Styela clava: one gene and its partner. The protein of the gene in region 1 purifies or fractionates together with the protein of each later gene. This does not show direct contact. Links are inferred from orthologs where the notes say so. Each region holds a gene or a part of one and is shown on either strand. Other genes may lie near its edges.

Evidence for each region. The genes of interacting proteins can lie anywhere in the genome.
Region 2: the proteins of synaptojanin-1-like (region 1) and endophilin-A3-like purify together in Drosophila melanogaster (affinity purification with western blotting; 3 studies listed by BioGRID). This does not show direct contact. The link is inferred for Styela clava from reciprocal best matches to the Drosophila melanogaster genes Synj and EndoA.

The regions. Positions count from the first base shown.
Region 1 is NC_135258.1:23,400,821-23,408,768, reverse strand, and holds the start of synaptojanin-1-like, read left to right. Parts: upstream 1-4,543; 5' UTR 4,544-4,596; coding exon 4,597-7,948.
Region 2 is NC_135252.1:11,289,220-11,297,723, reverse strand, and holds the start of endophilin-A3-like, read left to right. Parts: upstream 1-5,041; 5' UTR 5,042-5,216; coding exon 5,217-5,246; intron 5,247-6,088; coding exon 6,089-6,160; intron 6,161-6,502; coding exon 6,503-6,622; intron 6,623-7,240; coding exon 7,241-7,337; intron 7,338-8,504. UniProt on the Drosophila melanogaster protein: Required presynaptically at the neuromuscular junction. Implicated in synaptic vesicle endocytosis.

The sequences.
Region 1 (7,948 bases):
CCATCTACCTATTTGGTTGAAGCATAGAAAATAAATTTTCCTTATTTATTAAATAAACCTAAATTATGGATAAAGGCCAAGCTAGCAAAAGACAACTTGAAGAAGGCAAAAGATTGGCATGTAAATGTCATTTCCTATTTTAAAAATAGCGAATTTCATTTTTCCGCTATTAAATTCGAGCGACTTTTGTGTGCCGTATTGTACGTTCAGCGACCCCGGAAAATCTTTAATAAACGAGTAGCGACCACGCCTGGGGTCGCGACCCACAGTTTGGAACCACTGCGTAAGATAAAGGTACGCCGTGCTGCCGTTAGTGCCGTACGTTACGGTACTGTATTCTGCTTCGCTTCGTTCATGTATTTGAGCATCGCTCTTTTATACTGTACCGTACCGTATGCAGGGTTGTCATATTGGCTTTTTTAACTCCAAATTTGCCATCTTTGGCTCTTTTCAAACACGTTTGGCGTCAGAATTTCCGTTTGGCTTTTTTTTGACTTTTTTAAGTCTATTCTCAGATTCTAGTGTCTATTTTTAAAATCATATTAAATACAATATTTAGTGCAGTAGTGTGTAACAATAGCCTATTGCTGTATTGCTTAGCTAGACTACTTAAAATTTGGATTTCCCCGAGCATCGATTTCCTTGTTTTTTACCTTAACGATTAACCAATAAGAAATAATTGCTGTTTCTGCAGACTCAGACAGATTCAAGTACAGAAGTAGGGTAGGGTTGTGAACATTCTGACATTGCCTCGTTTTTATAGTTTTGTGTGTTAGGCTATTTGTCAGTTTTTAGTTCTGTTTCCAAAAAATAGTTGTATAACTTAATTTTCAATATGTCATATGTAGGGCTTTAGTTTAGTTGCAGTAATCAGAATTGAGTTTCACCAGCGATGTGATTAATTACGCTAAAATTAACTACCTGTACAGCTGTAGGAGCTAAGAGGCACGTTTTTTAATGCTAAATTTGCCATTTTCAGATTTTTGGCTCTTCAAACACGTTTGGCGTCAGAATTTCTGTTTGACTTTTTTACGTCTATTCTCAAATTCTAGTGTCTACTGGTCTATTCTTAAAATCATATTAAATACAATATTTAGTGTGTAACAATAGCCTATTGCTGTATTGCTTAGCTAGACTACCGGTACTTAAAATTTGGATTTCCCGAGCATCAATTTCCTTGTTTATTACCTTAACGATTAAGAAATAATTGCAGTTTCTGCAGACGCTCAGACAGATTCCTGGATTCAAGTACAGAAATAGGATTGTGAACATTCTGACATAATTTTTTAATGAAATTAATGGTTTCAAAATTCAAAAAGTGAAAAATTTTTCTATAGTTAAGTACGGTATACAGCTATATAGGATAGCTAGGGAGAAATTTTTAAGGTAACGGTACCGGTATATCACAAGTTTAGGTAGAAACATGTGGGTACATATATCACATACTGCTGTACTGAAGCGACACCCTGTATTGTATAGGCTAGGCCATATTGCAGTATTGAATTGTAAAATATAGCTGTTCGCTTGATATTTCTTTTTATTTGGTTTTTTGATATTTTTTTTAACTTTTTCATATAGCCTAGATCTGTAGATCTCGACTGCAGTCTACTGCTGTACCGGTATTGTCTGATTGTGCCGAATGTAGATTCTGGTGCTGCCATTCAATTAATCTTTTTCACTTTTAAACACTTCGTCCAGCCGAAGTGGAAATCGCCATGATAGCAACCGAAAATACAACTTTAAATGGGAAAAGACATTTGTGCGGATCACTAAATGAACTGATGGCTCTACATCAGCATCGGTATTGTGCCAAGGGCTTCAAATCTGACAAATCATGGGGCTTTTGTACTTCTGTATTTAGTAAAAGTAAAATTTTTGGCTATTTCTGGCTATTTTATGTCTTGATTTGGCTTTTTTTGATCGCTGAAATCTGGCAACCCTGACTGTATGTTCCAAGATGGGTCCTCATTTAAAAAAGGTAATAGGATATGGCTTAGTCTACGTGTGTATTCTATGTTTTAATTGTGTTTATGAATGTATGAGTAGTAAACTGATTTACGTTATTAGCAAAAAAAAAGCTCGGTGGATCGTTTGGGTCTGACCCCCGCCTGCCAATCTACCATCGCACTTCTAATTACTGTATTCTGAATTACAGTACCCTGTGCAGGTTCGAATGCTGTGAAAAAATTTGTGTGAGAGGAGCTTTAGTACTAGGAACCAGGGGCGCAGCCAGGATTTTTCAACGGGGGGTTACGGTGAAATCAAAACAGTGCATCAAAAGGGCAGTTCACGATGATGTAATGCATTTATAAACTGAAAGGTATGCGTCGTTCACAGCGAAATTCGTTACGTGTGTAGCCCGCCTCTCTTTGCCTGGCGGTGTATGGTGCATATTTTGCAAGTCCTATTTCAAACATCGACCATTAATCCGTAGTCAGTGGGCAACTGTAGTTAGAAATAAAAACATTAAAAATCGCTAAAATTAATTTTAAAGAAATGTGAAACTATTACTTGAAATTTAATGTTAATGAAGGTAATTTTTATAGCCATTTAATGATTTTTTACATGTGCCATGGTCTTGATAGAGTGGCGTGCAAAATCGTACTTTCTAATCGGGTTATTCGATGATTTTAATGAACACCGAATAATGAGTATTGTCATTTTGAACAACATCATTGAGATGTCGGCTGCCAAAACGATCGTCGTGACAATAATTTTTTTTTTTTTGGGAATTTTTTCGGAAGACTGAAAAATCCAGTAACAATGTTTTATTTCCTAAATTTGTCATAATCGAAGGCTGCAGTAAATTTTTTGTCATTGCGATGTTGACGCGCTTTATGCAAAGTTAGGAATTGAAAAATATGATGGGCGTGAAAAAGGGAAGGAAGAAAACATTTCCACATTAATCGTTTCTACCTGTTAGAGATAGCCGTCGGTAAATTCTTACCCTCTAATAAATTCAATTTTTCTTTTCAATGCGCTGTGATTGATTTGAGTGATTGCGCCGGAAAAAGAGAGTCCTTAAATTAGTTGATCACCCTTCTCTCCTTTTGAGCGCCCATAACGGCGGTTAAATTCTTTTCATGTCTGTTTCGTGGAGAGGAGGGAAAATGTGCCTTACTGAATTGCAATCAACGATTACACCTTCTTATTTATCATTATCAGCGCCAATTCAAAGATAGCATGATGTAAAGACGAAAAAAGTCTGGTCTGTGATAACACACAGAATAATATCGTATGGCCGCAAAACCATGATGCGCAACCGTTAAATGGCGCTGTTGCTTTTTTGTAGAAAAAATTTCGCATCAAAAATTGTTTTCAAAGGGGGGGTTATGACCCTGCGAGACAGTCTGGGCCTCCATATCGGCAATCCGTTACTGAAGAATAAAGTAAAAGGAAGTGCAATCTGAAAACATCACCATTGGGTTCCTAGGGGGGAGAGAATAATTAGATTTACCAAAGGATTATATTTTTGACAGTTTTTAGCAAAGAAACGCAATTATGGTCTAATAACGGCCACGATTAATTCCGATTATTATCGAGACAAGCGTGGCTCGATCTGACGTATTGATCAGCCATCGTACCAGACGCAAACTGTGCCCTACTGTACTTCGTGATATTTAATGCTGTAATGATTCATCATATTATTAATGAAAATGAATCTTTGCTCTGACCGTCAGAAAAATACATATTCTTCGAAATTCAAGTCGCCGATTAAATCGTTACTGTCGTCCAAAATAGACACACATTTGGTCAGGTGTCGGGCTGTATGTTGGTCAACGATAATTTAAAAAAGTTTCCACATGTGGTAAAGACATTTCTCGGCCTGAACTATTGATGAACATTATGCAAAACGTATCGACAAGTCTGAGTAGATATATAACGATAACTGAAAATTAAAATTTTGCAATTAAAAATAATTTGTCTGTAGATGTTATTTTATGAGTCTTGCTCACAAAAAATAAACAGGCCGACATACTCGATTATAATTGATTGAGTCGTTGAGTTTATTTTACATTATTGATTAACGCGAGCCCTACCAGGCTCCGGTTGCGGTCACATAAATTGCAGTGGCCTATGTCTGGCCTGTGTTTTCCGCGCTCTCACATTGATAATAATTTGATATTTTTTCATACCTATATTTTGTATTTCACAATTTAGTATTGAAGTGTATAATGCACTAGGCTATATATTTTAATTAACATATACCGGTAAGTATTTAGGTATTACCTAAATTTTGAACAATTCAAGGCAAAAAATAATTTTTTAAATTCTTACATTTCATTGGCTTGTTTGGTAACAAATAAAATCCAATGCTCAGGATTTTTTCAATTAAATACAAAGGCAGTAATACATTCACAAGATTACTTTTTTTAAATTGTAATTCATCAATGTGGCGGAAGAATTCGCACATTTGAATAACAATAAAAACAGAATAGGGTTCGGTATTCGATTTAAGTATTCTAGAATAGTAAATTATTCTATATTGCCCATCCCTACTCTGGTGCAAGGAAAATTTACTTGATTTCATCACAAAGTTTTTTTTTACAATTTATCCTTTAGTTTTATTTATTGTAATGTAGTTAATTTTTAACTATGTCTTTGAGTCGAGTTTTTCGTGTGCTGCATAAGCTAGGACCACCGTACAGTGTGCTTTTGGAGTCTCGACAATTTGAAGATGGACTGTTACTAGAATCAGGAACAGTCGTATCTCTTACTCCGCAGGAGAAAGAAGAACTTAAGTCGGATTATACAAAGGCAATTGATGCATATGGATGTCTTGGAGTTATGATGTTTGGAGATGACAAAGCTGGTAAAGCCCGCAGCTTATACCTGGTGCTTGTGACTGCTTGTATGCCAGTTGGAAAGTTACTCAACTGCGAAGTATTCCGCATTACTGGAGCAAGTTTTTTTTCTTTGCAAAATGGTACTGTAGATGCAGATAGCAGGTGCACAGATGTTAAAAAGTTACTCAGCTCTGGAAAATTTTATTTTACTTGGTCTGCAATGAATGGGAGTGAAATTTTGGATTTGACTGTTTCATTCCAGGATCAAGACAAGAAGAATGATGACCAACGTTTCTTTTGGAATCACCTTTTGCACCTGCATTTCAAACATTTTGGTGCTGATTGCGCCTTGTGGCTCTTCAGAGTTATGTGTGGAGGAATTGACATACGAACTGTTTATGTAGGTGCTCAACAAGCCAGAGCTGTGGTTATATCACGTTTGAGTTGCGAACGTGCTGGCACAAGATTCAATGTTCGAGGTGCGGACGATGAGGGTCATGTTGCAAACTTTGTAGAAAGTGAACAAGCAATCATACTTGGTGAAAATGTTTCTTCATTCATGCAAATTCGTGGCTCTATTCCATTGTTTTGGGGGCAACCAGGCCTGAATGTAGGATCCCATAAAATCAAGATTTCTAGAGGATTTGAAGCATCTGCGCCCACATATGATAGACATTTTTCAAGCATTGTGGATAATTATGGGCAGTGTCTCATAGTTAATTTACTTGGTAGTAAAGGGGACGAGAGCATGTTGAGTAGGCTTTTCCAACTACACCATGAAAAGTCTGCTTTCAGTGAAGAAGTAACAATGTTTTGTTTCGATTATCATTGTGAATGTAGAGGAAAATCTGAAAATTTATCCAAATTGAAAACAAAGATATGGGACAAACTGGAGAGTTATGGATGTTATACCTATAAAGATGATGAAAAGTTACGCATCACTCAAACTGGTGTCATTAGGATTAATTGCCTTGATTGCTTGGATCGTACAAATAGTACAAAAACGTATTTTGGAATGCAGATGTTACCAAAGCAACTGGAAAGTTTGGGACTTGGAAATAATAAGCAACTTGAAGATAGATTCAGAGAGGCTTTCAAAACGGCTTGGCCCATTACTGGTGATCTAATCAGTCGAATGTATGCTGGTACTGGAGCCTTAGAAGGTAAAACAAAATTTAAAGATGGTGCAAGATCGGTGACACGTGCAATACAAAACAATTTTCTTGACCAGAGTAAACAAGGTGCAATTGATTTACTCATACTTGGTACCAACTCAGCAGATATTGAACTGATGGCAAGGGCAAACAATTTAATGTCTGGTGATTGCTTGCGTGCTCCCACAGCGGTTTTGAGAGGCATGTGTGATAAATTCAAAGATTACACATCTATCTTGCCAATTAGAGTTGCCATCGGAACCTGGAACGTAAATGGTGGAAAGCATTTCCGATCACTGGCATATAAAGATCAAACATTAGATGACTGGCTCATCAAATGCGAACAGTCACCAACCAATAATTTTTACAAGGCCTTGTATGATTTTTCCTCTGCCGAAGAAGGTGATTTGTCATTCGCATCAGGTGATATCATTGATGTGCATCATGCCTTGGAGGATGGGGAATGGATGTCAGGTTCCTGCAATGGATGTAATGGAATATTTCCTGCAGCTTATGTCACCAAATTGCTACCAAGATATACTGCTTTGTACGACTTTCCAGCTCATCAGGAAGGCGATCTCGATTTTGTTGCTGGCGACACAATTGAGGTGACTGAAATGACAGGTGAATGGTGGAAGGGAAGGGTTTCAAGAGATGAATACAATCCTGATGAATTGGAAGGAACTTTCCCAGCTAGCTATGTTGAAATATTCAAAGATAGTTTGTCAAGTGACTCCTTTAGCAATCTTGCAGACAATAATGATGCTGAGGTTGACTGGAATAAAGCAATGGACTTTTATGTTATTGGATTTCAAGAGATGGTTGAACTCAGTGCTGGGAACATTGTAAATACAAGCCATACTAATCAACATACCTGGGGAATAGAATTGCAGAAGACAATATCTAACAAGTACAAGTATGTCCTTCTTGCTTCAGAACAGCTTGTTGGTGTGTGCTTTTATGTGTTTGTTCGTCCGCATCATACACCTCATATTAGAGATGTTGAAATTGGAACTGTAAAAACTGGATTGGGGGGTGCAACTGGAAACAAAGGAGGAATTGGTATACGAATGCAGTTTCATAACTCATCTTTGTGTTTTGTATGCTCTCATCTAGCTGCTGGACAAGGACAAGTACAGGATCGAAATAATGATTTTGCTGAAATATCCAAGAAGATGGTTTTCTCTGGAAATAAATCTATCTATTGTCATGATTATATTTTCTGGTGTGGAGATCTGAACTATCGGATAGATATGCCAATTGATGAGGTTAAACAATTAGTTGTTGAAAAGGATTGGAAATCTTTGCAAAGCAATGACCAACTCTGTACAGAAAAGAAAGAGGGAAGAGTGTTCCAGTGTTTTTTAGAAGGAGATACTAACTTTGCACCAACCTATAAGTATGATTTGTTTTCCGATGACTATGATACTAGTGAAAAATCCAGGACACCAGCTTGGACTGATCGTGTGTTGTGGTTTCGAAGAAAATGGTTTGCGGACACTCAAGATTCTGGCTCATCGTTAGTTTCAGTAAGTCAAGATCCAGAATGGAATCCTGGAAAATTGCTGTATTATAATAAAGCTGATATTAAAACTTCTGATCATCGTCCCGTTATAGCGATACTTGATGTCGATATTATACAGTCTGATGAAGAACATCTCAATACAACATTTCATAAATTTGTAGAAGCCCAAGGTCCTCCAGATGCAACTATCTTGATATCATTAACCCAAGAAGAAAATACTGGTGACATTCCACTGTCTGGTGAACTATTTGAAGCAATCATGTCAAGGCTGAACGAAATTGGTGAAGTTATCATCACCCGACACTTCAAGGGGAAACTGATGGTTATTTTCAGTGATGGTACAGCAGCAGTTAGAGCCACAGACTTGAATGAAACTTCTGTTGATGGAACATTGATTTATGTCACATTAAAAAGTAGAGGTTGGGAGGAAGATGTTGAACATGAACTTCGACAACATTCACATTCATTTTCTGCTAATGAAT
Region 2 (8,504 bases), on another chromosome or scaffold:
TCCACTTTTTAAACTGCACTTCCAGGCAACAATTTTCAAAGTATTTACTTTTCAGACAGTCAAACATGATTTCATACTATTAGGGTTTCCTGTAACTTGAAGATCTTTACCAGCCTGTTGAAAGCCATGAAAAAAAAAAAAATACAAAATCAAGTATGGCTCCATATACAGATATACCATGTTCCCCCCAAAATAGGACTGGGTCTTATTTCAATTTTCTTCCGAAAAATAACACTAGGGCTTATTTTCGGGGGATGTCTTATATTTTTATTTATTAAAAAACAAGATTAAAAATTACGAGATTTTCAAATATACAAACTATGAAAACTTATAACCATTTACTTATGAATAACACGTTCTTATTCAAAACAACTGCAGAACATAGATTATTATCAATCATTTAAAACGTGTAAGGGGGATAAAAAAAATCTCGCGGTATTGACTTGGTCTTATTTTATGGGGAAGGCTTATATTAAAATTATTTTTAAAATTCGTGCTAGGTCTTTTTTTCGGGTAAACACAGTAGCACTATGGCTAATGTCTCGTGTTTTTTATGTAGTACTTCCAAGCAATATTTTTTCTCTTAAATATATATTATATAAATATATTTCGATTCTTTATACTATTAAGGTTTGCTTGCACCTTCGAGATCTTTTCTAACCTGTTGGACACACAAAAGATAGGACTAATCCACTTTTCATAACAGAAATTGAGTGTGGCTCCATTTTCTATCCTGTACTTCCAGGCAAGAAATTCTCAGTTAAATGCTATTCAAACATACTCTTTTCACAAATGAGGTTTGCCTGTACCTTTAAGATCATTACTAATCTGTTAAACACACAAAAAATAAGACTAATCCACACCTCATAACAGAATTTGAGTGTGGCTCCATATTACTGAACTGCTCAAGTCTGTGGCTCCATTTTCTATCCTGTATTTCCAGGCAATAAATTCTCCGTTAAATGTGATTCAAGCGTATTCTTTTTGCTAATAAGGTTTGCCTGTACCTTCAAGATCATTACTAATCTGTTAAACACACAAAAAATAGGACGAATCCACTTCTCAAAACGAATTTGAGTGTGGCTCCATACTAATGAACTGCTCAAGTCTGTGGCTCCATTTTCTATCCTGTATTTCCAGGCAATAAATTCTCCGTTAAATGTGATCCAAGCGTATTCTTTTCACTAATAAGGTTTGCCTGTACCTTCAAGATCATTACTAACCTGTTGACACATACAAAAAATAGGACTAATCCACTTCTTAAAACGAATTTGAGTGTGGCTCCATATTACTGAACTGCTCAAGTCTGTGGCTCCATTTTCTATCCTATATTTCCAGGCAATAAATTCTCAGTTGAATGTGATTCAAGCGTTTCCTTTTCATTAATAAGGTGTGCCTGTACCTTCAAGATCATTACTAACCTGTTAAACACACAAAAAATAAGACTAATCCACTTCTCGAAACGAATTTGAGTGTGGCTCCATATTACTGAACTCAAGTCTGTGGCTCCATTTTCTATCCTATATTTCCAGGCTATAAATTCTCAGTTGAATGTGATTCAAGCGTTTCCTTTTTATTAATAAGGTTTGCCTGTACCTTCAAGATCATTACTAACCTGTTAAACACACAAAAAAATAGGTCTAATCCACTTCTTAAAACGAATTTGAGTGTGGCTCCATATTACTGAACTGCTCAAGTCTGTGGCTCCATTTTCTATCCTATATTTCCAGGCAATAAATTCTCAGTTGAATGTGATTCAAGCGTTTCCTTTTCATTAATAAGGTTTGCCTGTACCTTCAAGATCATTACTAACCTGTTGACACATACAAAAAATAAGACTAATCCACTTCTCGAAACGAATTTGAGTGTGGCTCCATATTACTGAACTCAAGTCTGTGGCTCCGTTTTCTATCCTATATTTCCAGGCAATAAATTTTCAGTTGAATGTGATTCAAGCGTTTCCTTTTCATTAATAAGGTTTGCCTGTACCTTCAAGATCATTACTAACCTCTTAAACACACAAAAAATAAGACTAATCCACTTCTCGAAACGAATTTGAGTGTGGCTCCATATTACTGAACTCAAGTCTGTGGCTCCATTTTATATCCTGTATTTCCAGGCAATAAATTCTCGGTTAAATGTGATTCAAGCGTATTCTTTCCACAAAGAGGGTTTGTCTGTACCTTCAAGATCATTACTAACCTGTTGAACACAAAAAAAATAAGACTAATCCACTTTTCATAACAGAATTTGAGTGTGGCTCCATATTCAGATATTACTGCATATCACCATGGCCTGGCCTGGCCCCAATTTCTCCGTGGCCTGGCCCCAATTTCTCCGTGGCCTGGCCCCATTTCAGTGGCCCGGCCCCAGGGCCACAAAAAAGTGATCACTCCCACTCCGGCCCTTGCCCGTACCTACTGCGGAACGATGGGCAGATAGGGCTGACGTTACAGTTAAATACTGTTTTTTTTTTTAAGATCAAAAATTTATTTATTTTCACAAAACTGTTTTGAATCCACAATGCGAAACCCTAAAATTTTTTTTTTTGAGACAAAAAACAGTAAAAGCGGTTAGTAGTAGGAGTAGCATTGTCAACTAACGAAAACTTGATTATATGATTATTATATCGTGACCTTCGAATATAGTTTTTTGGTTTTAATAAGAATATCAAATACGGTATCGCGCACGTATTCTTGCGCCACCGCTCTTTGATTTCAAAATTTATAACAAAAATTAGCCCAGTCAAAAAGTACGGGTACCGGTACAGCTAGGTATGCAGTAATGCAGGTATGTGTGCTGTTAGAAAGTGTAACAGTTTTTAGGATCGGCTCAAATCAGTATATAAGAAAATGCGAATTTTTAAATTTACTGTTCTAGGGCCATTTCGGGGGGTCTGAATCTTTCAAATATTTTTTGAATTTAGAGAACATAGGCCTAAGTGGTGAGGGGGAAATGATCACGTGATTAACGTGTTAAGAAGTGAAGAAAAACAGGCCATAATGTTATACAGTTCAGGTTGATACTGTTGCTAGACCAATAGCAGAATAGTATTGTAATTTCCGAATTAATTTGAACTAGCGCAATAGCGTAACAAGAACAGGCTATCTGCAGTATCTGAATATTGAATTATGGAATTGGATTTTAATGTACAGAAAATGTTGATTGAAAATTATATTAAACAAGTAGGCTAACTAGAATAATTAGACTTTGTAATTCTGTAATTATTTGGACAGTGAAATATTGGCTGATGAACTTGATTAGCCTATGCTGTGGGCCTGTGGCATAACTTTATTAAAATAAAACACCTAGTTTAGACAGTTAAATGCTTTACCAAAAAATGTATTCCTGAATTTGGAAGAAGTTGAGAACAATTTCTGAAGTTTACGTTTGTTATATAGAAGCTATCACTAACTTGCCCTGACTTAGTTACTGCAGGACTGCCTGGAACACAATATATATTACTGTATTAGATTAGGCAAATAAATAAAAATTTTACCGTTCCTTATTTTTTAGTAGATTGACAAAAATCTTCTGATATGGTAGACAGAGATCTACTCAATTTATTTATTATAAAAAATTTGAAAATAGATAAATTAATTAATTCTTTATATAAAATTATTGTATAATAAATGTGAATAGATAGGCATGTTTACCTGAAATAAATTTAAACAAAAGGCATGAGTTAATGCTGTTTACTTTCTTCATAGTTCTATTTATCTATTTTTGAATAATATTAACAGGAAATTATAGGCTGGGAATATTGCATAAGTCATATAAATGTTTATAAGGTATTTGCAGATGACACATCACTCATGCTTGAGTGATTGTCATCTGTAGCTGCAGGTTTGAAATTAATAGAATTAGTTCATTTCAACACATTGTAAATATAACAGCATGAATGGACAGTTATATTTCCTTTCAATGAATTATTCGAGTTATCATAGGATTTTCAAACTCATAGGCCTCTTATGAGACAAACTCATTATACTCTTCCTTCAACGCAGTTTTTGTGTGCTGGTAAATAAAGAAAAATACTAAGCTACAGAAAATGATACACCTGAAGTATGTGTACCAGGTTAGGGTTAGGACAAAACTTTGTTCAGATTTTTCACATTATAGTTCTATTATAAGTTCGGGGAGGGGGTACGATTTAGGTAGGAACTACATATTTGTTAGTCTTCATTATTTCATCCCATTACACAACTTGATGGGCCGCGGCCCATAGCCTGATGGGCCGAGGCCCGTTTCGATGGGCCGTGGCCCCGGCCCATGGGCCGTAGAAGAGTCACCACTCCCACTCCAAAGTATTGAACTAATTCACTTAGTTTGGCGGTCTGGAAACCACTGATCTAAAGGGTGTCTGTCCACTTTCAAGCAATCCATCAGAAGTGTCCACTCCTACAGTGTTTGAATGGTTGAAACCACTGATATTAGCCTTGCATGGGTATGTCCCATTTAGGCAAAACACAAAATGTAACCAGTAGTGCCTCTTTATCGTAGGTTTTACATTCAATAACCTTAGGCTATGTCAATACTATAGTATAAAGCAGCAATTCCCAAACTTTTTGTTCATGCGGCACCAAATTCTCAAGAAAAAAACTACGAAGTACTTCCATGCAAAACAAATTGCTGTTTTAGAATAAAACTCAATTTTGGGATTGTTAATGTGTATTTTATGAGTTTTAAAGTTTGTAAACATGTAGGCCTTAGGAATAAAGGCAATGTCAACAAACCAACATGACATCATAACATTTACACTTATTTATATAGCCTAATGACAGGTGTGCAGCTTCTCTGAACACATCTGCTTAAAGCGAGGTGTTATACTCGATATTTCTCTATCTATGTCTAAGTCCCTTTTGGGAACCACTGCTATAAACAATCTGTGACATCATAGTACCGTGAATCATTGATTGGTTTGTCTTTATTAAAGGTATGTTGTCAAAATCACAGAAGACTATGATTGAACTTTCACCTAAGTTCAACTTGGTAAGTCACATACACACTGACTTTTTGTCACATAATTATCAATAATAGCTCAATCTCTCTCTTCGCAGGGAACTAGGTATTTAGAATTATAACGGCACATTGTGTGTCAGTGTATTAGAATTTTTGTTTCATATCAACAGTTAATTTGTGGTTTTCACTCGGATATTTCCTATCTTGTCTCTCCTGGTTTTTCTTCATAGTGGCTTAACAAGGTTCTCAAAAGCATGATTAAACAATTTCACAAAGCGAGTCAGGTCAGTAAAACTTAATATTTTGTAATTCTGGATGGAGATGTTGCAATGCCTATTACATTGGATGCTGCAAAATTATACATGCATTACCAAATAGCCCTATATGGTATAATTTGCATAGGCATGGAAGTGGTTGACCTTTGATCAGTTTTTTTTTATTCACAGTTTTCCTAAATTTAAATAACTTAATGTGTAAGACACAATGTATACATGATTCAGACTTGTTTTAGGAGCATACTATTGTTTGTTATGTACTTTGAAAGTCATGCTGTTTTTAAGATTTTCCTCTTTTTCGGTTATACATTAGTTCTTTTTTTTCAATTACAGTCATGAGTAATTTGTTCTTTTATTTTATTTTTTTCTTGCTTCACTTCATAATAATGGTTACATTATTTTGATCTTCAATTCATGTCAATTCTCTCTTTTGTTTTGTGCATTGTGTACTCATATCATAAATAGAGATGCTTTTAACAATTCCATTATCTTGTACCAATAAATATACACTAATATCCTTAAGAAATGTTATGTCTCTATGTTGCTGTTTTTTTAAAATTATCTCAGTTCTACTTGATGATATAAATGTACAATAACCTTACTAGTAAGAGTGAGCTCTTATTGACTGTCATCATAAAAAATTTCTTGTTTCAAATAATTTTTTCAATCTGGTTTTCATTAATAATTTTGAGTTCTTTATTGATTTATTTGTCGTATAATTTACGATTGATGATTTTATTTTTTCATTCATACATTGTATGACTAAGATTTATAAAGTTCTGATGCATATAAGAGCATATTTATTAAAAATCTATTGTTAAAATTAACTTAAAATTAGTTATTTTTTACAGTATATGTCAGAGAAGATTGGAAATGAGAATGACAAAACTACAATGGATAGAGAATTTGTGGAAATGGAGAGGGTACCTAATTTTTTTACGTTTATTTACCTTGCTACCTTCCAAGTTATCCTTAACTATTGAGTATGATTGTTAAGAGTTTGCAGCTTTCACGATTCAAGGCTAAGACCTTGTAACGTAAGTTGTGATAAAATGATAATAATGCCTCATTCTCTACGAGAACTTGATGAAACAATCTATTGGTTTGGTCAATTGATTCTACTCTCGTAGTTCGTTCCTGATATTTCTTCTGTTTCATCGACAAAAGGAAGTCATCAAATTACTGACTGTTTTTATTGTGCAATGTAATGACTGTGGCACCAGTCACATGGGCTTACCTATGAAATATTCCATTTCCTTGCTCAGAAAGTTGACATAACAAGCAAAGCCATACAAGATGTGATGCTGTTTACTAAAGAATATTTACAACCCAACCCCGGATCAAGGGCTAAATTGAGCATGATGAATACAGCATCAAAGTTACAGGTAAATTTTTCCAATGTCATATTCTGTTTGAGTACCATTCATTTATGGCCAATGCCCGACTATTTATATTGATTGGGTTAAACGAATAAAACACATTTTACCTCATCAATTTCAAATTTTGTAATATTGTGACATCATATCAGTGAACATGGCGGTTTTTCATTGCTATTTTTTTAGTATTTCTGGGATATAATTCCCATCATAGGCTTCATATTGTTTACTTCATTTCAGGGGATACTTGGATGTCAGGTTAGCAATCTGAATGATAATAATGTGTTTCCATGTGGTCCCTCGGGAGTTTCTTCACATATTTTTATTGCTTTGTGCATCATTAGTTTTACTGCAAGCAGATGCCTGTAGTGACCATCTGATTTATTTTATTACCTATTAATTCATAAGTTCTGGCATATTATATTGGTTAGTATTGGTCATAGAATATTTCCAACTATGATTTAGTTCAGTGTTCATTATAATACTATGCTACCTCTTTGCCCAATTTTTTATATTGCAGCACTTGACTATGACTGGAATGTATGTTTCCTGAAAATGATGATCACAATAATTGTTTCATGGAAAGTAGAGATAAAAAGACTTCAAACTTTGCAATATGTTTTACAGGGAAAGCAAAGAGACATCAAATATCCTCAACCAGAAGGTACACTGGGCGAATGTATGCAAAAACATGGCGGTGAATTAGGAACTGATTCTCACTTTGGTAATGCTCAAACATATTCATTATTTTGCTTATTGAGTAACGTGGGTCTAACTGATTAATAATTATCCTTTGTTTTATTGTATTTTGTTGATTTATCCATACTGAGGAACACAACGATGTAACATCAAATGTAATGTACTGAATGTAATAAGTGTGATGTGTGACACTTGGCCTACCAATTTAATATTGTCAATCCGATATTAGCATATAGCAACCTCTTCAAGATTTGACATGTATGAATCACAATTACATCAGTTTCCCTTTTTAAGTTTGGAAGTGTTCATACCTCTCACTGGTGTGAATGTTTCTACAACATACAAATCATAAACCGAATAATATGTTATATTGAATTTAGTGAATTATTGATTTTAGGAATAAATAAAAGGTTTTCATATAGAAATTTGGTGCCGCCTTGGTATGCGTTAATCTCATAAAGACAGTCTCATAGAATTCAGTTTCCAACCCTGTCATCGTTGGGTTAGAGTTGGGTTAATACTAAAGTCACTAAGATCGCATAGCAAATTGGCACGAAAATTTGTTATGTTAGGCATATTACATCTGATGATCAGACAAAATATGATTGCTACTTCTGAATATTTGAATACGGAAAATTAATCAATCCAATATTTACTTCAACTAATCTACTATCCCAAAATCCAACTACTATGAATTCATAGTAATAGTGCAATTTCTGTGGATTATGAAACGATCAGAAGATATTTCATATTCAAAAATATTGTTGAATCAGAAATCCGAATGTATTCAAAATACTAAATTATTCGGTTGTGGCCATCTCTGTATGTATGTATGTTCAGAACATTTGATTGAGGCTAATATGTGAAAGCACAATGTTTTCATCAATTTATTAGAATATTGATTGAAATAATAAGTTACATTATAAATAAGATTGATTATCCCATCTTTTGTTTAATTAGATATCATTGTCTTGGTTTTAAAGTGCTACAATTTGATTTTTGTCATTGTTGACTGTTTTTGTTTTACGTAGAAATATTTATATTATAGGTTTATATTATATATATGCTTGCGGTGATTCATAATCTCTTAATCATAATCATCTCTTAAACATAAGTAAACTCATTATTGAAAAGCACTAGAAGTAAATATTATTTATTCACATTTTTTGAAACAATACAAAGTTGTTGTATT